Linked DNA regions of Lytechinus pictus. The protein of the gene in region 2 purifies or fractionates together with the protein of the main gene of each other region. This does not show direct contact. Links are inferred from orthologs where the notes say so. Each region holds a gene or a part of one and is shown on either strand. Other genes may lie near its edges.

Region 1 (15,377 bases), about 3.3 Mb from region 2:
TATGTGGGACTGTCAAAACAATGTATTTCTGTGTGTGCGATACAGACGATCATTCGAAACCCAATCTTTTTGAAGCATAACAGAAGTGAAAATCCTCCTTTTACTGCTTACAAATGACAGAGCTACCCCAATTTTTAGGAAATATGGACATTACATGAATTTTTTTATTGGTAAGAAATGTGAATTTGACAGTTCTGTAGGAGATTTCTTCCAGAGCAAACTTCGTTCGTGCAGCATCGTACTCCGTAGAAACTACATGCATGTGCATCGGCTGCGTGGACTAGGCGCTAGCTAGCTAGGTATGCTAGACTGTCATTGATTCTGTGTGTGTGTGTACGTCTCTGAGCTGTGTGTTAATTGCAGAAAATGGCGCAAATTTTGCAATTCGAATCATGATCGGTCAACAATTAAAGAAGAAGCATTTTGTGTGACTGACGACAGACGACGGACCGCCACGCCACAAAACTTAAGACTTTTTGAAAGAAGAAAATTAATGATATTGCCTTTTTTGTGTCTCTTTTTCTTTTCTATATTTTGATGGTGAAACATGGGGAATCTTTCTAAGTAAAATATAATTTCCATAGGAGAATTTTGCTTGCCCGATTCGGGCAATCAGTTTTTGACTTTGCTTCAAAACACTTGCCCGACTCTAACTTTTACTTGCCCCGGGCAATCGGGCAAGCGCTTATGTCGCACCCTGCACCAATTTAAAGCATACATTCTACCCTTTCATAAGATGCAAAATTTGACTTTATTCTTTTAATATTTGAAAAGAAGTACAAGTATGCATTTCAGAAACTGCTAATTTTTACAAAAACAGGGGATTTAGGTCACTTCATAAAATCATGCTAACCATGTGCCTTTTTCAAAATACTTTTTATACATAATTATTCACAACTAAAATGTGATGCAAATAATTATCATTTGTTAAATAATAAATTGAGTATAAAATTGTGTTACAAACAGTGCCTCATAACGGTAGTTCACCGTCCTTACATCAATGGGAAGCGAGTTCTGCCAATTGTGTTATAAAGCGTGGGAACATTTAGTAGCTGCAATTAAGAGATAGGTCTGTCTGGTAAGAAACCTTTTAATTTCATCTTTTGTTATTGATATTTTCTAAATCCTTTATATGGATTAAAGTGGAATACAGTACAAGGTTAATTCTATTTTTCCCAAAATTAATGTGGTACATGTAAATATGGATTTTCAAGGGAAATCCGTCATTGTTTACCATGTACGACATGCAGGTCTGTAGCCCCAGTGTCTAGGCTCTGTGATGAAAAGACAAATATGATAAAAATATCATCAGAGTCCTCTAGGCTAAATGCGCCCCCGCATCGTACTTATGACATGCACTGTGCACATCCAGATCTAGACCGATATATAGGTCTATTTCTGTCAGGGATATGCTCCGCTAAGACTTTGTCTGGCTACACGGTATCCCCTTCGTCAATCGACCAATGACGGCCATTGGGCTCGTAATGGTGGAGGTTCGACCAACGCTTAGCTACAGCATCAATGGAGAAAGGGGAGCGCAAGATTCGATTACTACTTAATTCACCCTTTTGATGGGCGAAAAGGGGCGCAATAATAAAGAGAAAATAATAGTGTATATAATCAGCTTACCACCTTTCCAAAATATATACTGGAATGTACTAAATTTAAAAACATTCAAGATCTTTATGATATTTATCGGCCGATGCAAGTATTTTACGATTCATGATATTTATCGGCCGATGCAAGTATTTTTTGGGCACTGCTCATGATATTATCGCCCTCTATACGCGTCTTATAGCTAGGCTATAACAAAGATGGCAAGATGGCGACAATAACAGACTGTGAGTAAACGCTCCTCTACTTTAAATATTTTCAATTTTTTGATAATAAATATTATTTTACAATATGACCCTTTAGTTTAAAAAAGGGTCTAAATTGTATTGTAGCCCATTTACATAAGTTTGGGCTCAAAACCCTTAAGAAAACAAGTATTTTGGCAACAACTTTGTTGTTGCCAAAATACTTGGTGCGCATAGAGCAATGGCATCCCATCCCTGGCTCCGTGGAGATTAAGCACGTCAGTGATATGACATTAATCTCCAGGAACCTCCTGGCTAAGCTTGACTCCATCACTCAGGAACAGTACCCTCTTCCATCAGATTCGTAAAGATTATCTTAAATGATGTACTAGTTATCTCCTTATAAACTTCTCTTAATACTCTGGAGCTGATTCCATCTGGGCCAGGAGACTTATTAATGTCCAAGCTTGGACAGTATCTCTTCTATGTCTTGTTCCCTGAATTCAATCTCTGTCAGCTCTGTCCGAGTCTTCTTCTGAATACTTGGTATTGAAGTCAGATCCTCTTCATAATCATTATAGTTTTTTAATGTTATAATTTGTATTTTCCCCTTTTATGTTCAATGTTTATATCTGGTATTCAGTATTTATTACATCATGTATTTTACAATATCATATATATATTCAGTTTCCAGATTCTGTAAAGGTGGCAGCGCTAATAAGGCTTTCCCTTTCTAGTTGCCTCCTCATTCATTTATAAATCATGTACAATCTTTTCTTTTAATTCAACTGTTTCCCAGATTTTATCATTGTAATATTTGCAATTTTCCCATGTAATTTATGTAAACTTTGTATGTACCTTGTATTTGTTTTTATGATGAATGGAATAAATGCTATCAAATAAAAAAAAGAAGTTATTATTGTTGTCTCAATAAAAACAATATTATTATTGTCTCATTATCATTATTGTCTCATTATTATCATTGTTGTCTCAATAATTATTTTAATTATGATTGATAACCGTCATGATCAGATCTATAACGTCCATGCGCAGTGAGTCACCATGTGCAATTTTTTATTGTTGCGCCACTCACCTGTCACTTTCTGACCAAAATGGTTCTAGAAATTATTTGCAATGTTGAAAAGTGTCTTGTGGCATCTGACATTAATCCTCAGTAATTCCCTGAAATGCTGCAACGTTTGGTTAAAAGATCCAGCAAAAGAAACAGGAGTTTAGCGCAGTCTAGGCCTGGGACTTTCGGGTATTTTTGTCTTCGGGTACCCGTGGTAATTTTCGGGCGGGTACCCGAAAATCATGTCGCATGAAATATGACTGGTGGAAAAACCCCATAGGTGACGTCATCCAGCCACTGCGCCGCAAGCAAACTTATGAATGAAAATATAGTAAGCATGCGCAGTGCAAGCCTCCCGTGCCCCACGCATTATTCCATCAAAACAAGTCTGCAATACTTTGTCACTTCGTACCAAAATCGACCTAGAATTCTACTTTCCTATATTTCATATTATTTATGAAATATTTTCTCAGAGGATCTGTTTTCTCACCGATACCACACAGGTAAGCAAATTTTGATTACTTCTTGCTTTTCCGTCAAAATCTTACGAAGTAGCGTCGATATTACATCGTGTTCGTGAGTTTGTAGAATCTATCGCTACATGCACAGAGTCAATTGATTTCCGGGTAGTTTTGGAGCGCCGAATGCGCCAGCCAATCACGATCGTGTTACCATAAGGTATATCGTTAATCAGAACCGCAATGCATCATGGGATCGAAAAGGGGGCCGTTAGCAAGCTCTGCGCACGTGCAGAGCTAGCTAACGGTCCCCTTTTCGATCCCATGATGCATTGCAATTCTGATTAGCGATAAACCTTATTTCCAGTTTATGATGAACTGAAAATAGTAACACGAACGTGGTTGGCTGGCGCTTCGTATGCTCAAGCTGCAAAAGAAACATGGCGACGATCGAACGATCTCAGTCACATCATCACTTGAAAAACTTGTATATTTATGGATATTTCGAGGGTAATTGGTGAGATTCAAAATGAGACTTGTGTACTTTTGTGATGAGTTACAATCATGTCTTACACTACGCAATACAAATCAAATACTGGTAAGCAATTTTCGGGTATTGATTTTTCTACCCGGGTACCCGAGGCTTCCGGGCGAGACCCGGGTACTCGGGTTTTAGTCCTAGCCCTAGCGCAGTCAAAGTCAGACTTGCAAACTGGATCCGTACGGTGCGAATTTTAGCTGCCATTTTTCTCGGGCGACGATTTGGGTAAGAATTTTTTTTGGTGCAAAATTGAAGGTTGAAGATCGCCGATTATTGCCAATGGCGACTCACTGCGCATGGACGTTAGGTTAGATCTAGTCTAACTTAATTCTAAATATTCATAAATTTTTTGTTGTAGGTATGTTGCAAAAGCGCCCTACCTCTAGGTGCATTCTGAATGCGGCATTGAGTGTGCTGCCTATAATCTCAGGGTGACTGGGGGGGGGGGGCATTGCTTTGTATTGTGTTTGCATGTGCAAGAAAAGGTTATTCCCAATGACATTATTGTTTTTACGTAGTTGAATGTTTATGGCAGCTGTCTAGACTTGAACAAAAATCTCACTCGGTGATCTTGCAGCTCTGTGTGCTACTGGAACTTTGGCCTTGCTTTCAACCTCTTGCTATTCAATTACAGGTATCATCCCACTCTAACAGGTATTCATTCCGATAGAACAACATTTCAACTACATTGTGGTGAAATTTGAAAGAAATCTGCTGACGCTAAGTGTGTTTTTTATGTCCCTGTTTCGGCGATGTCTGTAATTTTTGGGAGTGTTGTTGGGCACTTCCATTTGCCAATGTATGCGCATTGTTGTTTTCTATTATATTAGTGCACCTTGGTCCCAATTAAGATCACAACTTTTGTTTTTAAAAACAAATTGAAGAGTCGATTTGTGCGAACTTAAAACTACCATAACTTTCTTGTTACTGGGGCTCTTGAAATGAATGAGGTATTAAATGAAAGTTCTTGATCAGCTCTAAATGATGCTATGAAGCAAACACCTCATTTCTCTTCTTTTTTTTTTTTTTTTTTTTGCAACATACCTATAGGCCTAGGTGAATTTGTTGTCTCACTTCAGACTCAGCTCAGCCTCAGTCAAAGACAAGTCAAAGAAAGTGTCTCACTAACATTATTTTAATTAGGGTGTCTGAAGCCACACTGAAAAGTGTCAGCATAAAACAGGCTAATTTAGGGGAAAATATGGCACATTTTGGGGGGGAAGTTCAGGCTACTAGAAAAATGTGATCTGAATTGATTATTAACTTGTGTTTGGCATGTATGGAAAGAGAAAATTCAGGGGCTTCTTTTGATAGTAAGGACAAGTTTATATGATCATTTTAAATAAGGATATTTAGAGATAAATTGCAAACCCTTATTTTTGTGTGTGTTGAGATTGCCATTTCTCCATGCGTTTTCTATGGGAAAATGAAATTTCTGTTTTGCACGATTTGTTTCACTTTGTCCCAATTTTTCATTGTGATCTGGTTTCCAAATCTTTATAAAAATCATACCATCAGATAGAGCATAAAAAATCCTATTGGACTCACTATGGACAAGTTTTTGGCATTAATAATAAACTTATAACAGCTCTCGGAAGCTAAAAATTTGGATTTGTGTGTGTCCATTTCTTAACTACACAGTCTATGGCAGAGAAATGCTGAAAACTTACCCAATTTCATTCTTCTTTTTTGCAGCCAATAATTGGATTTTTTTCAAAAATGTTACATTTCTGTCAGTCTGAAGGTCATTTCTCTTCAAATTCACAAAGAAAATGTGATATTTTCTTGAAATAAGAAAAATAATTTTTTCTCCAGACACCCTATTTTAATATGGTTGTCTCAATAATTATTAATCATAATTAGTATTATTAAAATTATAATTATTATAATAACAATTATTATTATCGTTGTCTCAGTTATTATACTTATCAATCTAACGTTAATCAAGATCCAGACCTCACGTTCCGATAAGGTTTTAATGAAAACCGGTAGGCCTACACAGATTTCAATAGATGGTACCGTACAACACATTCACTTGTATTGCACTTTGTATTGACGAATTAAACAAAAATAAAAATTAACACTTACGATCAGCTTGTAAAAGTACTTCTGTTATTAGGACAGGAAGCGATGGTCCAAACGTTTCAACACAGTACTGCGGTGTTTCTTCAATAACTTGAAAGCTCTGCATGATTGGCGTCGATTCCCTGACCAGTCCCAGTTTCCAATTTCACCAAATTACCCGCGTCGCCGCCGCGTGAATATGCGAGGGATATAGATCACATACGAATTATGTCATTCACAAATTGTCTTATATATTTTCCTTTATCCGAAATAAATCCCAAGTTGTATCGATCCAAGGGGGAGGGATATCCCCCTAATTAAAAGGGGCATTACCTGCTTAATCATCTCCCAATAATGCACGGTAGAACATTTATGATGGTAGTGATTATTATCGTATATAACAATCAATTTCTTTTTTCTTGTAATGTTTATAGGGCTCATATTGTATATTTTTTTCAATGATTAGGCCTATCATCAATATCATATTCATAACAACAACATCAATGATGAAAAGTAGCATTAACAATGATAATGATACTGAAAGGGAAAGGTGTATATAATATTCAAATCATGTTAAAATTTATCACAAAATTAGATTTTTTTTTTTATTAAGAGGTCAAATATTTTGCTTGCTGGCTTGAAAATAAAAATGTCCCATAGGCCATGTCTAGCCCCGGCTCAAAATTGTTAGCTCATCACATCGATCACAAACTCCCCTCTCTGAACTTAAAAAAATACATTAAAGAGAACGATGATGTAATGAGCCAAAGATTTTAAGGAGGCCAGATACAGATTAATATAGGCCTACGGTAAAATTCATTGTGATCGAGCAAAAATTTCGACATTTTTGTTACAAAAATCCTATTTTGTGATAGATTTTGACATAATAGTCGGGTAGATTTGATCAACATTATTGTATGACCGTCAAGTTGGGTATGACTGCGATTTTTTTGCTTGAAGTTGTAGTATGGGGCCCGGTATGGGGTGTCTACTTCAAGAATCCGACGGGTGCCACCTGGGAACCCTTGGGCATTTTTTTGTTATTGACGTCATAGGCCACGCCCACTTTTTCACATACCTCTTAAATATGAATTTCATATTTTAAGGAATAAACATGTTTGGTATAAAAAATTAAAGCTAATGAAAAATCAAATGTAACATTTATGGATCATTGGACAATTAGATCACGCATAGGTCAGTTAAAGGTCATTTAAGGTCTTAACAGGTCAAATTGCCTTGCAAATGTAAGAAGTACATATAATGTGGAATATATTATGTTTTAAATACAATCAAGTTGGATATTATGTGAATCTATTGGCAAAGGTTAAGTTGAGGGTGTGCATATCAAGAATCCGACCGGTGCTACTTTGGCATCTTGAGGAATTTTAAGTTTGTGACGTCATAAACCACACCAGCTTTCTTACATTCCTCTCAGCGGAATAAACATCATGTTTGATATAAAATTAAATCAAATTCAAAATAAAATCCACATATATATGAATGACTAGGCATTTAAAACTTTTCCAGGACAATTAAAGGTCATTTTAAGGTTATAAAAGGTCAAACTGGGCCACAAACGTAATAAATGCAACATATAATGTGGAATATCTCATGTTTGGTTGAGGGTGTGTATATTAAGGATGTGACGAGTTCTACCTGCTCACCCTTTGGCAATTTTTATATCTGACGTCACGAACCACGCCCACTTTTCACATATATATGGCCTATGAGTAATTATCATGATTATGACAGAAAGTGACACTTTATAGAATAAACCTAACGTGTTTGCTAACTAATTTAAGCTTATGGCAAGTAAAATGCAATTATAAAAGTTAAAAGAGATTAAATACAAGACAAGATCACCAAAAGTGCAGTAATGTTTAGGTAGGTCAAATGATGTCAGGCAATGTAACAAGAGTTTAATAAAAACATGTAACATAAGCTTGGCATCGTATCACCAATTTTCCTACATGAAATAAAACTGCACAGTGTTTTTTTTTAGTTTATAATCAAGGACAGAATCATATACAGTAACAGTAAATAATGTATAACACACAATTTCCAGTTTAAGATCAATCGTGTTGGAGACACCTCAGAAAATGACTTCTTCAACACAAATTCACATTTTAGACAAGTATCCAATTGGACAAATTTGACATTTTACATCCTCCTAACTCCACTATCATGTTGTTCTCTCATTCATCTTCCAGACTGATTTCCCCCTCTTTAGTCTCAACTGCATGTTCAGTTTTCCTTGTGTTTAGAATGACACAATGTTATTTACATACGATCTGTACGATACACGATAAGAGGCAAATGCTTACCCTAGAGCATGGTGGCCCCGATTTAAATCCACATGGAACAAGTTCTGATAATTATTCCTTGGGAGTAACTAATGTGCTATGAACAGGTACAGGAGTGTTCTCCTAACTTATACTTCCCATCGATGCATGGGAGGCAATTTGCAGGGGAGTAATTCTGATCAGTTGCTCTCCTGATCAAGCTCCTGAGGAAGAGCACCTTTGATAATCATGCTCTTTTGCTGACTTGTCAGTTGGGGGTAGGCCTATGATCTTTGAAGCATCTGCCTTCTTGCTAAATCATGTGAATTATATTAGAGAGACCATTACATTTGTTATATTAGTAAAGCAAGATGAAGAGTATGAATATTACACATTTAATTCATCCAGTCCACTTCTTCAGCATCGGACTCTATATATTAAGATATTATTCGAGCAGCAAGTTTAAAGTGGAAAACTTTCCCTTGCCAAATTGACACAACATTGTATTACAACCTGATAGGGAATCGTGCAAGGCTAGTATTTTCCTCTAAACTTCAATGCAATACCTTTAATGCCAATTACTTTTCCATCAGTATGCAAAAGACTTGCAAGCCCAAAATGAGAAGACTGGTAGAACAGAAAGGTTAGTGTCGTCAGAGAATTTTTTTACATGCATCTATTGCCATTACATCTTCAGAAGATAGTGGAACAGGGCATTGGACCTTCCGTACTTGTTCATGACACAGTGGTTGTTCCCAAGGAATTAAAAGAACCTCCTTGTCGATACAAGTCAGCGTCACCCTGTTCTACAACTTTTAAAGATTAATGCAGTTGCTGGTCGGCCGTCGAATCACGTATTTCATAGTTCATACTGCAAGTGTGAATCAAAGTAACACATATCTGGCAGAGGCATGTAGTTGAGGTTGTTGGTGAAGGGGAATCATAATGAGCATCCGGTCGAAGAATTATGGTACAGAGGGTAGTTGTGAGAGGAATATAACAGGACATTGTGTAAGATGTTAAATTGGTGTAGATTATTTGGAATCCCATGGAATGATTTGATACAAAATGATAAATTAAACGTTTTGTATAAGTCCTGTGAAAGTCGAGCAATCATCAACATTTCATGCGTGTAAATGACTTAAAGGGCACCTTTACATGTGCTTCATTTTTTGGGTAACCTTTATGTACATTCCATTTTCAATAAGCTTTAATTTGATACCAAACATGATATTTTCATTTTGTACGCTAGATATTAAAATATATCATCAGACAATGACGTTGCCCAAGGTTGCCAAAGCAGCCGAGCTTCGTCAGATTCTTAATCTGCACATCCTCAACATAACTTTCAGCCAAAAATAGACCTACATAAATAATGCCTAACTTGTTTGTATTCCAAACATGATATATTCCACATTATTTGCTGCATTACTTACATTTGTGAGCCAATTTGACCTTTTATGACCTTAAATGACCTTTAATTGCCCTGGGCACGTTTTAAATGGGTAGCAATTCATATTATGTGGATTTTATTTTGCATTTTATTTAATGTTATTTCAAACATAATATGTTTATTCCGTTAAATAGAAAAGTCATATTAAAGAGGAATGTAACTGAAAGTTTGTGTGGTTTATGACGTCAGAAAAATAAAATTCCTCAAGATGCCAAGGAAGCATCCATCGGATTCTTAATATTCACACTCTCAAACTTAACCTTTGCAAAAAAAATGCATATAATACCTAACTTGTTTATATTTAAATCATGGTATGTTCCGCATTACATGTCTTACTTATATTTGTAAGGCAATTTGACAATTTATGACCTTAAGCGACCTATAACTGACCTATGCGTGATTTAAATACACAGTAATCCATATATTTGCATTTGATTTTTCATAAACTTTAATTTGATACCAAACATGACATGTTAATTCCGTAAAATATGAAAATGATATATAAGAGGTATGTGAAAAAGTGGGCGTGGCCTATGACGTCAATAAAAAAAAAATGCCCAAGGGTGCCCAGGTGGCACCCGTCGGATTCTTGGAGTAGACACTCTATACTACAACTTCCAGCAAAAAAAATCGTAGCCATACCCAACTTGACGGTTATGTTGGGGTGTTACTTGACTAAAGCGTTGAAGTTCTGAAATTTCACCTTCACCTGGTCTAATTCAAGTGATTTTTCTGATATTGTATCTCTTGATTACGAAGAAAACAGAGTACACAATGGTTAAGCGCTTCAGGCTCACGCGAAGCTTGGAATTCTCTGTGATTTATATTTAAAAAAAACCCAACAAACCGAACAGTATATATATATATAATTTTGCTCATAATGGTGCTTCCAATTCAAAATTTAAAATTACGTGAATTGAGGGCGCAAACAAGACAGGGGATGGTGTACAGGGATATAGAATAAAGTTTCATCGCATATATTATTTTTGTATGTAGCATGCATGGTATAAATTTAATGCCTGCCCCTACGAGCAGATACCTGCCAAAAATTGCTTGCTAAATAGAGGAAGAAATAGCATATGGGGAGTGACGGTGTTTACCCGCTCCGATCGGTAGCGCGGAAATCAAATAGCCATAATTATCTTTACCTCACAAATCATCAATTTGAAATAAATAAGATAACTTTTCATACTTTACACACCCGCTTCTACGTAATTCTGTACGCGAATGTATACTTTTATACTGTACGGTAAAATAACTGGGGAGGGGAAAACGGGGTAGAAAAGGGGTGTAATTAAGAACAGGGAAAGACAATTTTGTAATTTTACCAGAGCGCGTAAGCAAAACTTTTTTTGTATGAATTAAGAGAGAGAATACGTCTCGTTCAGGTTTTTATTCTTTTGAGAAAAAAAAATAAAGAAGAAAACCAATAAAGCTAAACCCTTATTATTTTTTCTCCCTTCACATTTTTTACCTTTTCACCCCTTTTCCTTTTTTTTGGGGGGGGGGGATTTTTAAGGGGGTTTGGGTGACCGCCCACACCGCCCCCCGGCTACTCCCCTGAATTTAGATTTTGAGGGTAACAGCAAAATAAAAAAATAAAAAAATTGATACAGCCTTCCCTGAGAAGTGATAGCTTTTAAAGTAAACTGTCGATGCATAACAATATCCAAAGACCGAGTCTATCGATGGGAAAATGTTACAAATTCCCTACTGCTTTTGTACATCGTATGACATTTTTTTTTTTTGGGGGGGGGGTCAAATTACTTATTGGAACCAGGCATGAAATATTGAATATCGTCATGTATTGTAACTTACTCTGTTACGACGGAGAGCTTGAATCACCAAAGAAGTGAATTGTCATGTGGAACAGATTCAAACTGATAGACAAGTGGAATGCCTCTGGCGGTCTCACCTGCATCAGCAGTGCTGACTTTAAAAAACACAATTTAAATAATTATTCACAAAAAACACCATTCATATAATGATACAATACTACGTTCATTGACATTGGACCTTGATCATGTGACCTAAAACTTGTCAGTGATACATGATTACCCCTATATCCACATGTTATACACTATATCTATAAACTTTGAAAGTAATGACAGCAATCTAATAATTACCTCTAAAATGGCCAAAGTTCAATGACCTTAAATGACCTTTGACTTTGGTCATGTGACCTGAAACTCGCATGAGATGTTCAGTGATACTTGACTACTCTTATGTCCAAGTTTTATGAACTAGACCAATATACTTACAGAGTTATGATGGCAATTCAACAAATATCCCCAACATGGCCAATATCCATTGACCTTTGACCTTGGTCATGTGACCTGAAACTCGCACAGGATGTTCAGTGATACTTGATTACTCTTATATCCAAGTTTCATGAGTCAGATCCATAAACTTTCAAAGTTATGATGGTAATTCAACAGATACCCCCTTTACGGCCAAAGTTCATTGACCTTTGACCTTGGTCATGTGACCTGAAATGCACACAGGATGTTCAGTGATACTTGATTACTCTTATGTCCAAGTTTTATGAACTAGACCAATATACTTTCAAAGTTATGATGGTAATTCAACAAATACCCCCAATTTGGCCAAAGTTCATTGACCCTATATGACCGTTGACCTTAATCATGTGACCTGAAACTTGCACAGGATATTCAGTGATACTTGATTACTCTTATGTCCAGGTTTTATGAACTAGACCAATATACTTTCAAAGTTATGATGGTAATTCAACAAATACCCCCAATTTGGCCAAAGTTCATTGAACTTTGACCTTGGTCATGTGACCTGAAATGCACACAGGATGTTCAGTGATACTTGATTACTCTTATGTCCAAGTTTTATGAACTAGACCAATATACTTTCAAAGTTATGATGGTAATTCAACAAATACCCCAATTTGGCCAAAGTTCATTGACCCTATATGACCGTTGACCTTAATCATGTGACCTGAAACTTGCACAGGATGTTCAGTGATACTTGATTACTCTTATGTCCAGGTTTTATGAACTAGACCAATATACTTTCAAAGTTATGATGGTAATTCAACAAATACCCCCAATTTGGCCAAAGTTCATTGAACTTTGACCTTGGTCATGTGACCTGAAATGCACACAGGATGTTCAGTGATACTTGATTACTATTATGTCCAAGTTTCAGGAATCAGATCCATAAACTTTCAAAGTTATGATGGTAATTCAACAGATACCCCCAATTTGGCCAAAGTTCATTGACCCTAAATGACCTTTGACCTTGGTCATGTGACGTGAAACTCATGCAGGATGTTCAGTAATACTTGATTAACCTTATGTCCAAGTGTCATGAACCAGGTCCATACACTTTATAAGTTATGATGTCATTTCAAAAACTTAACCTTCGGTTAAGATTTGGTGTTGACGCCGCCACCGCCGTCGGAAAAGCGGAGCCAATAGTCTCACTCTGCTATGCAGGTGAGACAAAAACTATATTTATTTATTTATTCAGTCATCTATTTATTTATATATTTATTCATTTATCTATTTATTGATTTTCTTTATTTGATACTGCAGGGTAGGCCTGTTTAGGTATGCAAAACTGCTTTCCAAAGGCGCCTAGCTGCAGTTTAACAAATAACTCAACATCATAACAATTCAATGTATGTAACATAATAAAGTAAAAACAGCATACATTATATAGATAGAGTGAATCAACAATTATCATGGAATCATTACATCAACATCAAGTTATTCAATTTAATTACATGTATGACAGTCAGAATTTTTATGATTTACAGTGTTTTTTTAATAATGGAGGGACGTGCATTTTTGTATATCACAACGGAGCGAATTAAATAAGACGGCAGCAACATATTCAAAAGATTTTCTTTTATAATGGTATTTGAAGGGGACGTTGTTTAGAATATCGTGTTTTATAAGTTACATTACGTTTGCAGATAAGTGGTCCCAGATAGGCTGTGGCTAAATCGTTTTGTATTTTGAAAGCAAGAACATAATATTGATATTTGATACGTTCCTCCACGTTTCTCGTGCTAGATTCAGATAGTCATCATTAATCCATGGTACACCTCTTTGCTTAAGACGCACTGATATAAATGGGGCATGTCTATCACAAATTTCCAACAGAGTACTTCTGATTAAAACTCCATAATTTTTCTACATCCTGACCAGATGAATAAAATTAATTCCGGTCAATTTTGCTCATATCTTCTTTAAATGTGTGTAAAAATAAAAATGTTTGAACTTGCGAAATTTGCTTATCTTTGGAGAGAGAGGTTGATATTTACCTTTAATGACAGTAAATATTACGTATCAACAAGTGATTGTTAGGCATAACTCTCGTGGGTTCAGATATACTCGGGGCATATATTTTTAAAAACTTTTTTTGACAGATTATTCAACCGAGCTTTACCATTGACCATGTTGACCGTTCCTTAGGGATAAAGACGATCGTTATTTATAATGAAGGGGGGGGGGGGGAGGGAGCCCCCCTAAAAAACAAAAAATCTGGAGGTAATAAAATCTTATTGAATGACAACAAATGCATTAACAAGTCGGTTTTTTCGCTCAATGAATTTGATATCGTTTATTACTTCAATACGTGGATTATTTAAGATAATACATTAATACAAGCCAAACTTGTATCATGTTTCCATGATGATATGACTATCATATTAGATATTATTGAGTAAAATATGTTACTCAAATAGATACAGAAATATGACAGTAACGGTATCACATGAAGCCCCATGAGTTTCCATCTATTTGTTGTCCACCCCCCCCCCCCCCATTTTTAAAAACCAGTTCTGCGGCCCCTTCAAAATACCATATGCCAACCTACAGTTTAGGTTACACCATTTTTCTTTGTCAAGACATTTCTTTACCCTTATTGATGTATATTCACTGCTTGTATACATGCATGCATGTCAAACAGTGTTCGCTTTCGAATTTGTATAAGGTCCATGGTAAAATACACCTACTGCATGCTCCGGTTGTGATTATTGATTCATGCGGATAGAAAAAATAATAGCAATGGAAAACATGAATTCAAATATGAAGTGGGGAAAAATCCTGTCTTAAAGAACAGACATGAAGGAAATCACACCGAACTTCTTCGATAGTGGAATGATCAAAGTTTAAAACTAATTATCATCTTGTTTAACTTTCACTTTGTACCTGAACTCTGGCCATTTTCTCTCGTCAATTTTGACTTTAGAAACATACTGACGTATAGTATATGCCTGCGATAAGTCAAACATTATTGTAAAATACAGTCAAATGGATTGCTGCCATGGAAACACCACTCCACAATGAATCTCGTCCCAATCCCAGTACCTTTAATAATACCCTCACCCCATCACATCTACCATGTCTACGGTGTGCTTAAACCACTTTTATCAGCCGGTGGAGTATCATGATTATAACATATAAACTTGGGTATTCCAAGAGGCACCGAGTGCATAGTTCACACAGCTAATATAACCTTAGACCAATTTCAACCGACGACAACAACGACAAGAACTGTTGAGATAAACAGATGACATCATTCTTGGGTTCTCATCAATTTGGTGGAAAGTCTGAAGTAAGCTGGGTGGGGAGGGAAATTGAATTTCAGCTTCAGTGTGGCAGTCGGTCGATGGGGAATCCAGTCACGTCGCTCTCCGCTCTCTGACATCACTGCCCTGGCAGGAACAG
Region 2 (16,540 bases):
ATGTTGTCTATTCTGGAAATATATGATTTCTTCCTTTTTTTTTGCTTTGAATATTTTGAATTTAAGAAAGGGAAACATGTTTCAACAGAGTAATATCAAATGAGAAGAACCTATCTCGATGATCATCATTTTGCAATTCATCATGATTAAATTTGATTTAATTATGTTTATTTCAATCTTTATCAGTCTTCCATCTAATTCTCTCAGTATTTTAATCTGAGGATGCACCAATCTCTAATCTGACTATGTAGGCTTCATTTTAGTCATTTGAACATACATGTGAATAGGAAGTATTCTTTGTAATTTGTTTAAAAAAATTGAGCAATCTTATTTGATATTTCATTTTAAACAAATTGTATTCACTAAGATTCAACAAATCAGGAATAGTATCGTAATTTATAAAAAGGAATTTTATGCATTCTTGCAATAGACTATAGTTATCATAAAAATTTATCAAATGTAGAAAACACACTCATTATGTTCAATGAATACATGTAGGTGTAAATCAAACTGCTAATGACTGTACTTCAAGTGTATGAATCATTGGTTGTAACACTTCATTAGTGGGTATTCAAATTATGCATCTTCCCACTCAGTAAGCCTGCTATGGGTGTATACCCGTATGTTAGAGTATCTAGGCATATAAGCTGACCTCTGCAGATGAGACTATTAAAATTACTATTGTTTGTTACTGGCACAACCAAAATGCTTGGGGGTCACACATGACAAAATGGCTCCTGTTTTAAATTGACTAAGTGAAAAATTGAACAACAAATCGCAATAAAATGCAGGAAATATAGAACTTTTTTTTCTTATTGGTACTACAAGCAGAGATTTCATATTCTATTCTGTCTTGTAAATTATTAAGGCTCATATCTGAATTTTAAAAGTAAATGCAAAGGAATAATAGAATCAAGATGTCCTTTAATGCATACCACTTCAAAGGAAGAACAAGCCAGATCAAGATACACAAAAATAAACTGCCAATCAATAATATCAATCATGCGTGATAGTCAATCACTAAGATGGTAACATGCGAAGGATTTAGAAGAGATCACACTCCCGGTATTACTGCATTGATTTGTCAGTATGATTTGAAACAAATTGGATATTTAGGTTTTCAAGTTGAAAACAGTATTCAAATTCTTACTTCAATTTCATTCATTCTAAATTGCCAATACCCATCTCTCATCAGTAACTAAATTTCCAAGGGCTCGACAAATTGAAATTTATTACAAAAATATGTTTGGTAATAAATTGAAAAGTATTCTGTTCTGTGAATTCATGTAATTTATTTTTTTAAGAGAATTATTGGATTCACATTTTTATGACTTCACAATTGTAAGTTAAGAATAGTACTGTTCTAATTAACATGTAATTCAATACTAGTATATGGATAGCAAATGTAAATTTGAACTAAAATATGGAAATAAATTCGACAAATATATCAAAGAACTGGACGATGAATACAGTTTAAACAACTGGATATAGGTACGGATAATAAAATAAATAAATACCAGCAACTTATCATATTGTACACCTTCAAGATTGATCTAAAAGGGACTACGTAAATCAGTATTTTATTGTTAAGTTCAATTGATCAAATAATAAGATGTTCCATCCTCATTTCCCACACAGTAGAAGTATGCATCATATTTGAGGATATAAATTCCACCACACTGATTTTTGGTCGAGATATTTATCGCTTGGCGGATTCTCTTCAACCCTGACGACATTAAGTAGGTTTTCATAGATTCCTACGGCAATCATTGACCCAAGATTGAGTTGTCTCTATTTTAATTGACAGTTGCGCCCGACCTAATTAAATAATTCATATGATAATAATGAAATATCATTCCCTTGTGTCTATAGCTGAGATATATTGGTCAACAAGTGAAGGCTTGAGTGACTCACTCAAAAGATGGAGATGGCAAACTGGGGATTGGGGAAGACTGGGGTATGAAAAGCCCAGGGGGTGAGAGAGGATGAGCAAGGGGAGGGGGGGTGATAGATGGAGAGAAGGATATGGAAGAAGATACGAGGAGGAGAGGGGGCTAAAGGGATGCAAGAGGGATGGGGAGAGAAAATGAAGGATGGTCGGGAGAAGGGAGAGGGAAGTTGGTTGAGGATTTGTTCTGAGGGGGTGGATGACAAAGGGAGGGAGAAAGATCAAAGTAGATGAGATAGGGAGTAAAAGTGTGAAGGGGGGAGGTTTAGCTGAAGGACAGTTGAGGGAGAGTTGAAGAGGGTATAGGGTGAGAATAATGTGAGAAATTAGAAAACATATGGAGATGGAAACGGAAGAGGACAGTAAGGGAATATTGAAAAAGAATAAGAAAGAATGATAGCAAGAGGAATACTCATCATGTTAGGAGATGGTAAAATTCCAAAATTGGAACATGTCAGGACTATCTAATTGAAGGACACCAAGTCATAGAGTTGAATGCAGTATTGATTGGCCTTATAATTACCCTCACATTGGCCTTTGATATTTTTGTGGCCTTTTACTTTTTCCTCAATTGTGAACCCCCTAAAATTGAAAAGAAAGAATAAAATACAGCATAAAAGTAAAGGGGAAGTGGAAGGGGAGTGTGGGTGTGAGGGTGTGTGCGTGGGTGTGTGAGAGAGAGAGAGAGAGAGAGATGGACACACAGAGGTGGGGTGGGGGGTAAACGAATGAAATCTAATGCATGGTGCATGATACAAACAGCTCACCCTGGAATACAAAATGCAAACAAAGATACTTGTTAATTTAGCAATATGCCTACCCCTATTCATCAGTTAGGCTACTCATTTAAAATTCATTATCCCTGTACATGTATACAGTACCTCAAGCTATCCAACAGTAGTACTAGATACAACATGTATGCATCCAGTTTCCAATTATTCTGAAAAATTGAATAAACAACTAATCCTTTGATCCTACAACATATTCGCTTATCAACAAAGCGCTGTCAGACAATGGCTTTTGATTAATAACTAAATATAATTGAAATATTGAAAAGCTTAGTTTGATTTGATCTATTGCATGAAAATTAAAATTTGATTAAAAAATAAATAAAGACTTACTCCTTTTATTTTGTATTTCAATGTCAACTTAATTCATTAATTTGATTTTAGTGTAAAGGTTTGCATCCCCCCCCAAAAAAATGTGCAGTCATTTAACCCAGTTTATTTCACTGGATATAGCTTTAATACATAACCCTTTCTTGTCTATATCCTATTCATAATGGAATAACTAAATAGACTACAAAACTTTCTGATTGACATTCAGGTATAAGTAGAAAGATAGAAATAGATTCACATTTCATCATGAAAATATATAAGGCTCTGATGATTGCCAAGATGAACAGTAATAGTACAGTTCTTCCACATCATCTCTTGAATGAAGATTTTGTAAATATAAAATTGGATTCATCAATGTAAGTCAGGTACATGCAGCTCTTTAAAAATGTTCACCTGCATTGATCGAGACACACATCCTCATGATGTCATGTTCCATCAAACAGCATTTTGATAAAAGTTTCTTTTATGTGTGTGACACCTTGAGGGATGGGGGTACACTAAAAGCATTGTAAATAGACACAGCCATAGTATGACTTGTATTAATGTAGACTCTAACCAAACTCCCATGGATGTATCCTTACCATCTTCAAACAGAGAAACAGCATTGATATTGACATTATCGCGGATGAATCATGAATAAAATCATATTCTCATTCTTGTAACATGACATTACACAGTGGCATTATAAGAACAGGTATATACCCAAAGGACGTGGCTTTAACTTCATCACATAATCTGTTATAATACAAGTGTATCGAATTTCTTGGGTTTTCATCAGGTATGAACTTAAACAATTTCTATTTTTCTGATAAATGGAAAGATATATGCTCTCATATCATTCTTATAATATTAATTAGTTTCTTTTTTTTTTCTTCTTAGGTTGTAGGTCTGAAATATAATCCACGTACTTTTTATTTTATAATTCATATTCTTTGGTAAAAAGGAAAATCCAAGTCATCCGATAAATCATTAATCCTGGATTTGTACTTGATGCTTCTTCACTCCATGTTTAAACTTTTTACAGATAATTTTGCTTCATTTTTGTAATGACTCATTTCATAATTTTTTGGGTAGACTGTCGATTCACTTTATAATTACTCAATCATTGTATTCCAATGTTAACAATATTCCAGTAACATAGCTCTACACCCCAAAAAAATATATAACCGTCATTGCACTGAGCAGTATTTCATATAATGTAACATTTTATATATTTGTTCTATTTCAGTCAGTTATTTTCCTGGTGTGGCTTTCAACAAGGAACTTCTTGATTTCATGAATAAAATTGAGGGAAATCCTCACATTTTCATGGGTGCATCATTGAAATACAACAGACACATGTAATAACGTCGATGTCTTTTGAAAGGTTTCTGCTAAATTTACATGAAAGATACACCATTGGTGAGAGACAGAAGGTTTTTGTAGTCTATCTTGTGAAGTGACTTACCTCCTTTCTACTTCCAAGCTATTGATATGATGACATGCTGACTCAGCTCTTCTCATACCTTTTATTCATCTACTCAAACCCCATTCTCTCACTCTATCACATACATGTACACACTTTCTTTTATGCAATGACAAATTAATGAAATGTGTAAATTTAATGTTTCACAAAGTCAGAATCGAGTACATACCATGATACCTGCTTGATGAAAAAGAAAGAAATAATGGTATAGGACTGAAGTTTAAGGGCACTTCTGCTTCCTTGCTTCCTTTCTTCTCCTCCTTCTCTCCCCCTCCCCTCTCTCCCCCTTCTTCTCTCTTCCCTATCCTCCCTATACTCTTTCTGTAGAGCTAAGACATTATATCATTTCTTAATATAATTCCAGTTTTTCAAACTAGATTGTAAAATGACATCATCCTGCTTCCACCAAACCAAGTTGATATCTACCTTGGATACAATAAAGACCAATCAACCATCCATATTCATACAAAACTACAATTTACCAGAGGTCTATTGTGATGTAATGACTCTTCTGCGATGAATCATACCCTTTCTCCTAACCATCCGGCAATCCAGTAACAGATCTATTGTCTTTCAATCTATATCTCACTGCAAACACTCTTTAAGTTCATCCCGCACTACCATTTATCGTCTGCAACCATGAACAATGAATACAGCGTGGTAATAACTTGTTGCCATAGTAACCATGTTTGGATCCATATTCAGCCAGGGTAGTGTAATACAAGAAAGCTTGGAGGATAATGTTGCAATATCAGAAGGCATGCAGTGATAGAATACGGCTGGTAAACAGTGGGTGAATCAAAAGGATAAACAAAAATGCAATTAGCTTGCAGCAACTTTTCTTGAGATCTTTTCCCTTTCTCCCACACTTTCTCATGTTCTGCTGCTCAACATGCACACTACATAATGGTCACCACACGCTTTGTATCCTTATGCATTATAAATTCAGAAATTACAATTATAGTAAAGATTGGTATTTGGTAGATAATCCCTATCTTGTTCAGACTAAGACAATATATCCACTATCCAGTCATTTTGCTTTAATGTATGTACTATATACATGTACAGTATTGTTTCCAAAAGATATAGAATGCCAATAATACAAAATGTGCACCTTTGCAGTGAGTTATCATTACTTGACCAAATATGTTTTAAGAATTTTTCATGTGTTTTATTCACAATTATTTTGATTTCATTAGTCATGTTAAGAAATCATCATACATGTCAATTTAAACAATGATTCTTCACTACTTGTAAACATAAAGCTACCAACAGCCCGTGCCTACTATCATCATAAGATGTAGAATTAGAGTGAATAAAATCATGATAATTTTGATCTGATAATTAGTAATGTATGTCACAAGACTCACAACATCAGTACCTTAACGACCTTGAGTTTCCCTTTTCAGCATAATGATAGCACATCTAAATCTTGTTAATCCTTGGCATGCAACACATGTTATCTTCATAAGATGTAGACATGGGGAGAAGAACTCTATAAAGAGCAAAATACCTTCTTAAAGTGTAATTCAACATAGTGGCCCGAGTTCACAAAGGAGATTTAAATTCCGCCTGAATTTGGTCCAATATTTTTTGTGTTTAATTTTCCAGGATAAGGCTGATTAAAAAAGGTTCCCTACCAAACTTTAAACTACTTGTCAAAGTATCACTCACATGCATGTACAAAATACCACTGGCCCAAAATAATTAGGAGACATTGAAGGAATTGAAAGGTATAGAGTATGAACATCTGATAGGCCCCTTACATATGAACTAATTTTTTTTCTTCAAAAAACGTTGTTTCTATGAAGCCAATCAAGACCTTAAATTGAAAGTCAGAAAGTATCATCACCAAGACCTTGTGGTCTTTATTGGAATTGACCTGTGGGACCTTGAACTGATTGGTTATGGAGATAGTACAATCTCCCTATCATGAATCACTACACATGGGACTAAAGGGTAAAAAAAGATGATTTATCACCCCTATACATGTAAATCATCTATCTAATTGAGTCATACAGAGCAGACAATTGACCGAATAAGCAACTTTTTGGCATCACTATTTGCTACCTGATAAAATAAAAAAATCACTCTTGTTGATAATGATTCATTAAATTAATTTTATTAACTTAAAACAAGTTTGAACATGTTTAAAATATTAAAAGATTAGGTGAAGGACTTTTTGAAAATAATCATAAGCAAAACATGTCTAATCTCAAAGATAGTTCAAACCTTTCCTACAGCAAGCCACACTTTCACAGAAACATAATGGCAACACACTTCAGTCTATCCATTAAAAGCTACTGGAAATCTCACTCGACTGTAGTTTTGTTTTTATTTGAATTCTTATTCCTTGGTAGTCTAATGACATCATATTCCACTTGCTGGTGAAAGTGAGCATACCCCTCAAGGCTAATAAAATCACATAATCCTGTCACATAATACATAGGGTTTTAGTAGCATTAACAAGACTTTTAAAGAGCCATCTCATTGATTTGGTTTCTGATCTGATGCATTATTGATCTTCCCAACTTCAATGGTAGGTTGTTTACTGCACTGTGCAAATATACAAGGTTTGAAAATGTTGAATTTTGATCTCTTTATCTTTAATTTTTTTCATAACAGGTTAACACAAACGCATTAATCATGAGTTCTACTTACTTATTAAGATGTTCAATCTTTCCTTTGCCATCGTAAGGTTTTTCTTCATCTTTTCTTGTATTTTACGGGCTTTCTCCCATTCTATTCCTGGATAAAAGATATGGAAATAGATGTAAGAATAAAATTTAACAAAAATCAATACAGGTTGTACAAAAAAACTTCAAAGAGTAAGGTGACTTTAGATTAAATTTATGTTAAGTGATAACACCCAATCAAAGAGTATAGAACATTGTGATCAACTTCATTGATTGGAAAAACCAAGAGAACACAACTCTCCAATAACACAATCTAATCTAATCTATCTGTTATAGACTCCAGAAAATCAATATGTAAATGTGTTTTTAATGGAACGTTAAGTCTAATGTAATTAAATTAAATATAAAAAAGTGATTTATCTCACTTTCATTCAAACATTTACTTTAAGCAGATATATGAAATTTCTCCCTTAATAAAGAAAATATTTTATTATTTACAAATACAATAAGTGTAAAAACTCTCATCATAATACACATATTCAACAACAGAAAAAAATTGCATTGCTGTAAATGCTAAGAAATTGGAAGGATCCTGACATAGATTACAAATGACACAAAGATGGAGGTATCTCATTTAAAGGATTTAGGTTATTCATCAATGGATAATGAGAACTTGGGAAGGCATTACTAACGGGTTCAATCTATACCTAGCTCAAGGCTAGAATTCAATGATCCTGCAACAATTCTCATCATGGTTTGATCATGGATGTATTCCACCAGTTACAGGCCTCACGGGCCTATTAACATTGGGAAAGCAAGAGATATTCATTCGAGCCAACCCATTGCTATTTTTTTTATTTTGATATGGCTGATTGACAAAGTGTATGCATATGATTGTCCATCTAACACTGATTCTATTTTTGGTAATTACTGAACTTCCTTTTCCCAAATTGGGAAGAAATATCATCAATTTTGGACTATATTTTGACTGGCGGAAGGATTAGGGCTATTTTGCTGTTTGAGGTGATGAATCTGCTCCCCCCGACGGTGTCTTCAAACACGCCAATTTATTTTTAAAATGAGCCGGTCGAGGGACCCTTTTCTGGTCAGATATGGATTGCCAGATATATATCCTATCCACTGGTAGTAAACATTCGACCCCCGAATTTCATCCTTATTTTTTATGAATTTTTTAAAGTGCCAATTTAACACACGAGTCTATGGGGAATGAATTAGGCCTGTGAGACCTCTAACCTTGACCATAGCCTATTACAAGGGGAATTCCCTAGTTGATGAAATACCTGCCCAAACTCTTCAGTAGCAGATTGCTTTCACTAGTATACATGTTTCAATCATCAAGAGGTCCCAAAACTCAACTTCATGGCTATATACAAGGCTACAGGGGGTATAACAGGTAACAAATTTGTATTAGTAACTCTGTGTTTGTGTACCTAGGCTAGGCTGTGTAGGCTGGGTGTTTGTCTCTGCGTTACATGTTGTCGTGTGTTTTCGTATACCGACGAGTGCTGCTGTAAATTGTGTATAGCACCCATCACAAGATATAGTACACATTAGATAGGCCTTGCATCAATTGCACTTGTGAAATTGGTCCATGGGGAAGGGAAGGAGAAGAGGAAACTTTAGAATTTGACTGAAGAGTGGTGGATTCAATAGGGAGGGGGGGGGTAGAGAAAAGCATAGTTAGTATGTTTGGGGGGGGGCTGAGAATGAGTGCTACTGCTATCTTGTTCAACTTTTACTGACTTCTAGCCAGACTAGCCCCCATCCATTTAGAATACAAGCCATCTAACCCCCCTCTCTCCCTGTCTCTCTGACACCCCTTGGGCCCTTGTCATAGGAAGATGTGAATGCATTAGTATGCTTGTATGTTGATTCCCATTTCTTTTTATTGTTATCTAATTTAACTCATGTGAATCTGGTATTTATATTGTGGGCAGATCTTGCATCCAGATATGCACACTATTCATATCTACAATTTGTATTATAGGATTTGGGCCCTACATTGCATCCATTGTTGAGCTACATATAGGCAGGTAGGATGTGTATAAATCCATAGGGCACTAGACATTAGGAGTAACATTAGAATTGGTAATTACATAACACATCTGTATATTTCATGCATTTCTTTGTGATAAAGTGAGTGTACAGATGTTAAAGAAGAGCCAGGAAGGTAAATTAAAAAGAAACATTCATGTGCCATACATTACAGGCCTCACGGGCCTATTAACATTGGGAAAGCAAGAGATATTCATTCGAGCCAACCCATTGCTATTTTTTTTATTTTGATATGGCTGATTGACAAAGTGTATGCATATGATTGTCCATCTAACACTGATTCTATTTTTGGTAATTACTGAACTTCCTTTTCCCAAATTGGGAAGAAATATCATCAATTTTGGACTATATTTTGACTGGCGGAAGGATTAGGGCTATTTTGCTGTTTGAGGTGATGAATCTGCTCCCCCCGATGGTGTCTTCAAACACGCCAATTTATTTTTAAAATGAGCCGGTCGAGGGACCCTTTTCTGGTCAGATATGGATTGCCAGATATATATCCTATCCACTGGTAGTAAACATTCGACCCTCGAATTTCATCCTTATTTTTTATGAATTTTTTAAAGTGCCAATTTAACACACGAGTCTATGGGGAATGAATTAGGCCTGTGAGACCGTTACAGAAGATGAAGAGTAGAAGAGATGATGACATGATGGTGGGAGAAATGAAGCAAACGTGGGAGGGGAGGATGGAGGAAATATGGATACAATTCACAATGTGAAAATAATACCAGCTGACAAAGGAATAGACGGCAAAATAAATATGAATATAAACTTCTTATCTGAGTTAATCAACTACAAAATGCAATTAAGGAGGTTGGTTCAAATTGTTTATTAATACTTCTTGTTTTAGGGTGTATTTATTTATTTTCTTTGTCATCAGCATCAGCAAATAAGATCATTTCAAGCTACAATATATACACATGAGTTTGCTCATAGGAACACAGATGTTCCTGCTAGTGTGCCCATTTGCCACCTTCTCATTAAAAGCTGAATCTGGACTGGAGTAAAGATTCAATGAATTACAGCTCCTTCTAGCAGAAATTACATCATTTAATTGTTCAGTCATAAATGCATGGTCTATGATGAATAAAGACTAACCTCTTGATTGGCAACTGTACAAAGCTTACAAACTGGTCAAAAATAGGCTTCATCATGAATATTCATAATAACCTGAGCTTACGTGAGTCATGCTGGCGACACTATAGCTCTTACATGAGAAAACAATGCTGGAGGGGCCATTGAAGGTGACGAGACATGGGTGTGATCATGTGACCCGTGTGCCGAAACTACCACCTGTAGGTTTACCCTTCCACTCATCATCTATTCCCCTCCTCCTCAACCTTTCATTTTCCATTCTCGTCACGAAAGAAGCAGTCCTCAAGCTCAAAGACCAGTATTCCCCAAGGAACAACATCCTCTCCCAAAAACCTGTGGGCACCTCTTCAATTACTTAATCACACCCTTTCTCTTGTACCATTCTTTTCCATCTTCTTCTTAGAAGTATATGAAAAAAGTATGACGATTACATGGCAACCTGCAATATGATAGGACAGCATGCCCAAAGACTAATCCATTTTACAGAGATCAACCATGTTTGAAAGTTCCACATTGGTATCTCTCTCATCTTGCTCCTCTCTATTCTGTCCGGTTTGTTTTCGATGAACCTCTCTTCAACAGCTCTTTCTCTATCTTTTACTCTTGTGGTGTTGTTTATAACCCTGTCTATTTTTTAAACACTTTATTACTTAATATCTTTTGCAGCATGATGGAAATAAACATGAAAACATATTATTGACTATGGGAAAATAGTGAATAGAACTACAAGAAAAGATTAAATGGAGCAGGATAAAAAAGAGGAATGGAAAATGAGGATTTGAACTAGTCAGTGACTTTAATGAATTCAAAATTTAATCAGAATTCAAGACCATCTCACCAAAAGGCGAATCCTGTTTGAGTTTTCATTCATTCACAGTTTCATCGATCCCCAGAGTTTCGTCAGTGGTGCAAGGAGAAATCAATATTTGGGTCGGCTTTTAAGCAACGATGCGTTCATTATGCCATCGTGTCAACCATGAAGGTTACGATAAATCAACGAAAGGCAGAATGAAAGGTGTAAAACTGAATCATTCATGAGTGAATATATGAATCTCAATCACACTTCTCACCCAGTGGGTTATACCATTTAGAGCCCATCTTCTGCAATTCTTCACAACAATCATCTCACATTGCAAGAAATTTATCCACATTGTGCTGCACTCAACCCAGGTGAGGTGAATGGTTACCTGGTGGGAATTTAATCCTTGAAATGCAACAGTTGCTCTGCTAAAGCAAGGGTAATCATGCTGCATTACCGTAGAGCGTTTTTAATGGAGACTTCTCATAATAAAGTGAATGTTAAGCGCTATATAAGCACATATTATTATTATTGCTGATACACAAGCATTGCCATTAAGGGTGTGTTCAATGTCTGTTTCTAAATCTAAATGGCAACATGAATCATGATCAAAAACGTGATTACAAAAAGCGGATATAATGAGAAACAAAGGGTGTGTTCAATTTCCTCCATTCCCAGTCGTAAAAGTAAACGTCTCTCAAATCATAATTTGGAGGAAAATTTAAACGTCGAAAAGACGCATTTGTAAATGCGATCAGCTATAGATTTTACGACCTTCACCATCGTGAATGCAACACTGAAACATCTTTAAATTTGCTCTCACAGTGGAAGCCTACACAAATAGTTGCCAGAATTTGCCTTTACTGTGATGGGTCAAACTGCACTTAAGCTGCGCTAACAAAGTGGGCAATTTAAAGATGGTCAACAAATAATCAGCTATATTTTCGACAATGAACCCTGCACCGCTGATTGTGTTTGTGTTCTGTGTTTCGTAATTTGAGTTTTCAAACATGATTCATGCTGCCGTTTAAATTTGAAAATCAACATTGAACACACCCTAATACTTTTTATTCATTTTTATTCAAACCACCTATATGTAGCTATTATAAAAAATGTTAAAACTGTTGTTTTCAACTCATCGTACGGCTGCCGTAGAGCAAATGTGTCTGAGGTATAAGGCAGCTAATAAAAAGTTAGAGTCTCTTCTTTCGCACAGGAATCCCATAAGCATCTTTCCATCACTATTCCTCACTCCTCACCTTCGTTATATAGATAAACCAATGGGAATGATTATTGAAAGTAGATCCCTAAGCATTGTATTTAAAGACAACTAAGCCACAGTAAACTTTTGGACATTTACTTTGCTAGTTTTCAGTGATAGTTTTCTAAGTTTTAAACCATATTGCTCCAGAAATGGGATCTATTTCAATAAAAGTATAAACCTTGATGATATTTTCTCTGCATGTCTTCATGGACTGTATATCTAAAGCAATGAAGAACACTCTTTTTTACTATATTAGTTGCAGAATTTTAAACAAGTAAGAAATTACCACATTGATTGAAACACCAGGAAATAGGCACACATGGCCTTGCATACAAACACATTGATTTTACAAGCGAGAAGTTTCATTTAACCATCTCATTAACATTCACAGTCATGAAGTCATAATGTTGTGATGAATAGATGGGTTGATGGCAATCATGTGAAGCTAATGTACTGCTAATGTGTAGCTATCAGACAGGCACAATACCATCTCCCCTAACCCTCACCAATGTTCCCTGGAGATAAGAGCTAACTCTCGTAAAAAAGCTGTCACTCAATTTTTGAAGCACAACTTCTTGATTGAAGAGATAATGTAGCAGCAAAGTAATGTTTAATTCAAACCACACTCAACATTAATTTACTCATTGTATCCTGCACAGCAAGATTTTTGTTATTATATAGATACTGATCTAAAAAGACAATTATTCTGAGGGTGGACCATTGGACTATAATATTCAGGAATCAATTATCTTTTTTTCTTATGGTCATAACTGACATGATTGGAATAGAATGCACCCTCCCCCCCTATTTATCATCACCAGAGTAATGTAATTGAGTAAATTTGTTTTTATTTGAAGTATTTTTCAGAAGTGCCTTGTGGAGAAATCCAAGCAGTGACTTGCAAAACTCTACTGCAAATGAAAAGTCATGTTGCTCCCCTGGAATATCATACTGATCTCACTTTCTAATCAGTGGTAAGTAAATGTTAAACCTTGTACCATTTGCCTTCCGAATAATTTTGAAGGATAAATATTGATAGTAGTTCTTTGGCTAATTCTTCTCTACTTGGCTAATGTCGGTCATCAATTTACAACTGATTTACATTGATAACTTTTTGGTATTGCATTCGTTTTATTGTTCTCTCTTTAACTAAATCAGCATGCTGTTGAGGTAGCTATCACAAAGAAATGAGGGGTATGTTTGTTTCAGACACCATCTAACATTTTCAAAGGATTTTGGTATCTGCGTTAAAACTATTTCCTTTGGGACTGTACCTTCAGGAAATTAGTACTAATACAATCACCTCAACTCCTCATAGTCAAGTAGAAGCAGGGCGTGTCAAACATATAACTAAAGCTTGTTTATTATTTTTTTCTGAATTAAGTCTTGGTTTGTACAGACTGTGTTAGCTGTTAGCTAATGTTCTTCTATTTCAAACTGCATATCAGTGAAAACTTGATAACGATTCAGAAGAGATGTTCCTTAATGGACATTCCTGTCTTCAACAATTTTGAATAGTAATCCACTTATAATTGTAGTAGCAGGTTGTTGAAATCTGAAAAATCAAAGCCATTCTTTGAATCTTTAAAGTGGCCATAACTGCCAAAGTGGATTCCGAACTGGTCAATTGACCGATACACCTTGATGACAGAGTTGGTCACTGGTCACTGCGTAGGGATGCTTGGGGTGGAAATGGAGCAGAAATGATGGGTGAGTTGATCAATTATTCATAAGGGCAGTGCTATAACCATGATAAGAGCTATAAATATCATTCATATCAAGCCTGGGGCCTTTCTTCAGAATATAAGATGAGATAGACATGTATACCTTAATGGATGGAGCTACTCAGATGAAATAGATGCAGGGAGAGAAATACAGATAATATGGAAAGAACATGTTCGAACAAGGGTGGGGGGAGAGAGAAAGGGAGAGAGGGACAGGGAGTGAGGGAGAGAATCATGTATCATCATATATTTCATCGGCGTTCATCCAAACCGTCTTTTCAGTCAATTTTGGTTTGAGAAAATGATTTTGAGATTTTTGCAGAAAATTAAATTACAAGTCCTATTCTATACCTAATTAAATATCTAGGCAGCGATTTATTAAACATTTTCTGAGATATCTGGGGATTTTCACGGCGATGCCATAGAAATTTGTTATAAAAATCGTAAATCCCATTGGAAATTTGTACCGTAGTAAAGCAAACAACATCCGCGCACATTGAATATGCAAAATATGCGTGGTCAGCAAAACCTTCGTATTTGCACTTTGTTGCAAGCATGTAGCTCTTTTGCGATATATGTTCTCTGATTCTTGGTTTTAAATAAAGATACCATTGTCAAACAATTGTCTTGGTCTTTCCAACCATGTACTTTTCTACATGTAGCAATGGAAATGTTGTAAGGCTGGGGAACAAAATGTGAAAATTATAGCAAACTTTGAAGTATATTTTCTCTGAAATGGGTTTGCTATATCGTATGTGTAATACGACCGTTCAGATGACCACCAATGATTTGTCCTCCATCATATAGAATTGTAGGTTTAAAGAGCGATAAAAATCAAAATGAGCAAAACAATTCTTAAGGCAAAATGCAGGGGGGGGGGGTAACTGATTGAATCGTACGATATGAAGCGTCACAGAGAACACATTTTTTTTATATTTCCCCTATTTGCAACATATCAAACTAGATCAAGAGAAGGTATTAATGAAGACCTCATTCCTTGAAAGCATCAAACTAACAGCTTCACTGGTAACATCAGGGTACATACAATGTGCCTATTGTTTTGAGATATTTATTTAGTTCAGCGTTACTGGTATACAATGAATAAAACAAAACAAAACTTAAAAAATTAAAAGAAATGTATTAGAATTTGACAATTTAAAAAAATACTCATTTTAAAGTGTTACTAGTCAAATATATTAGCATCTCTAGCCTGATTAAATTTGTTATTTCCTTTTATTCATAAAACAACAACTGACTGCTATGCTTACCTACAATGATTACTCATAGCTTGATTGAATTATAGTTGTATGTTTCTTATTTGATATTGATTGATGACTAGTATTTAAGTATACACCTTCACAGCTGGGGACCACTTTATCATTTCTGGCCAATCAACATCACTTTCCTTCAAAGACATAAATACCCTTTTTACACACGCTAAAATTTCCTTAACCCCGTACTATAGGTGGGGCTAAATTGTTATTTAGCCCTACCTATAGTAAGTTTAGCCCACTTTCTTTTTACACAGCATTTTTGCAAAGTGGGCTAACCCCACCTTTAGTACGGGATTATTTGGTCCTGCAAAAAAGCAGGGTTATCCCAGCAATTGCGGTGCTAAGAGCGAAAGTACGGGGTTAAGATCGCTAGTGTAAAACGTAAGTGGGCTAAGTGCTCCCATTCATGCCCCGCAACAGAGCCGGCCCTGTTGTCCAATCAGAGGTAAGCATAATGAATATTCATGAATAGCGAACACGGCGATGAGAAATTCCGAGTGAAGTACTTGAATGATCGACAAATGTATTTAAAGCGCGCGTGATTTTGGATATGACCCGAATGACCCCTCAGTGCGCTCGTGAATATTCATGAGCTACCACTAGTCCGGGGTTAGCGAGTTTCGTGTGTGAAAAGCAAGCATTCCTTATCCGGGGTTAGCAATAACAATTTGGCATGTGTGAAAAGGAAAAAAAATAGTACGGGGTTAAGGATAGTACGGGGTTAGCGATAGTCCGGGGTTAAGAAAATCCTGTGTAAAAAGGGTAATACTCATTTTTCTTTTTTAAATTGGCAGCATTTTGATTGATTGACTAAATTTGTAAGGAAGCTAATTTTGTCTCACAGTACATAAATAATCATAAAGAAATGAATAATATAATTTGGAAGACCTTGATGACTGACTCTTTTTCTTGAGGTCAAGCGGTAACTTTCATTAGACATCGTCAAAACCAAATATTTCCTTCTCATTAAGATGTCAGAGATACATCATGTTGTTTATTTGCTTCCCCCAAAAAAATCAATTGTACATTTCAAGGTTTTGAATGTCAGATATTTACAGTGTATTGGCAATGTCCTGTTCCTTCTTGAAGCTATCCCTTCCACACCTTACATGTACATGTCAACATCTATTTCTCCATC

The links.
Region 1: the proteins of spastin-like (region 2) and nuclear pore complex protein Nup133-like purify together in Homo sapiens (affinity purification with mass spectrometry; 3 studies listed by BioGRID and IntAct, counting the BioPlex papers as one, with this or other methods). This does not show direct contact. The link is inferred for Lytechinus pictus from reciprocal best matches to the Homo sapiens genes SPAST and NUP133.

The regions. Positions count from the first base shown.
Region 1 is NC_087251.1:11,267,701-11,283,077, reverse strand, and holds the start of nuclear pore complex protein Nup133-like, read right to left. Parts: upstream 6,062-15,377; coding exon 5,959-6,061; intron 1-5,958. UniProt on the Homo sapiens protein: Involved in poly(A)+ RNA transport. Involved in nephrogenesis.
Region 2 is NC_087251.1:7,940,982-7,957,521, reverse strand, and holds the start of spastin-like, read right to left. Parts: upstream 7,921-16,540; coding exon 7,875-7,920; intron 7,280-7,874; coding exon 7,193-7,279; intron 1-7,192. UniProt on the Homo sapiens protein: ATP-dependent microtubule severing protein that specifically recognizes and cuts microtubules that are polyglutamylated.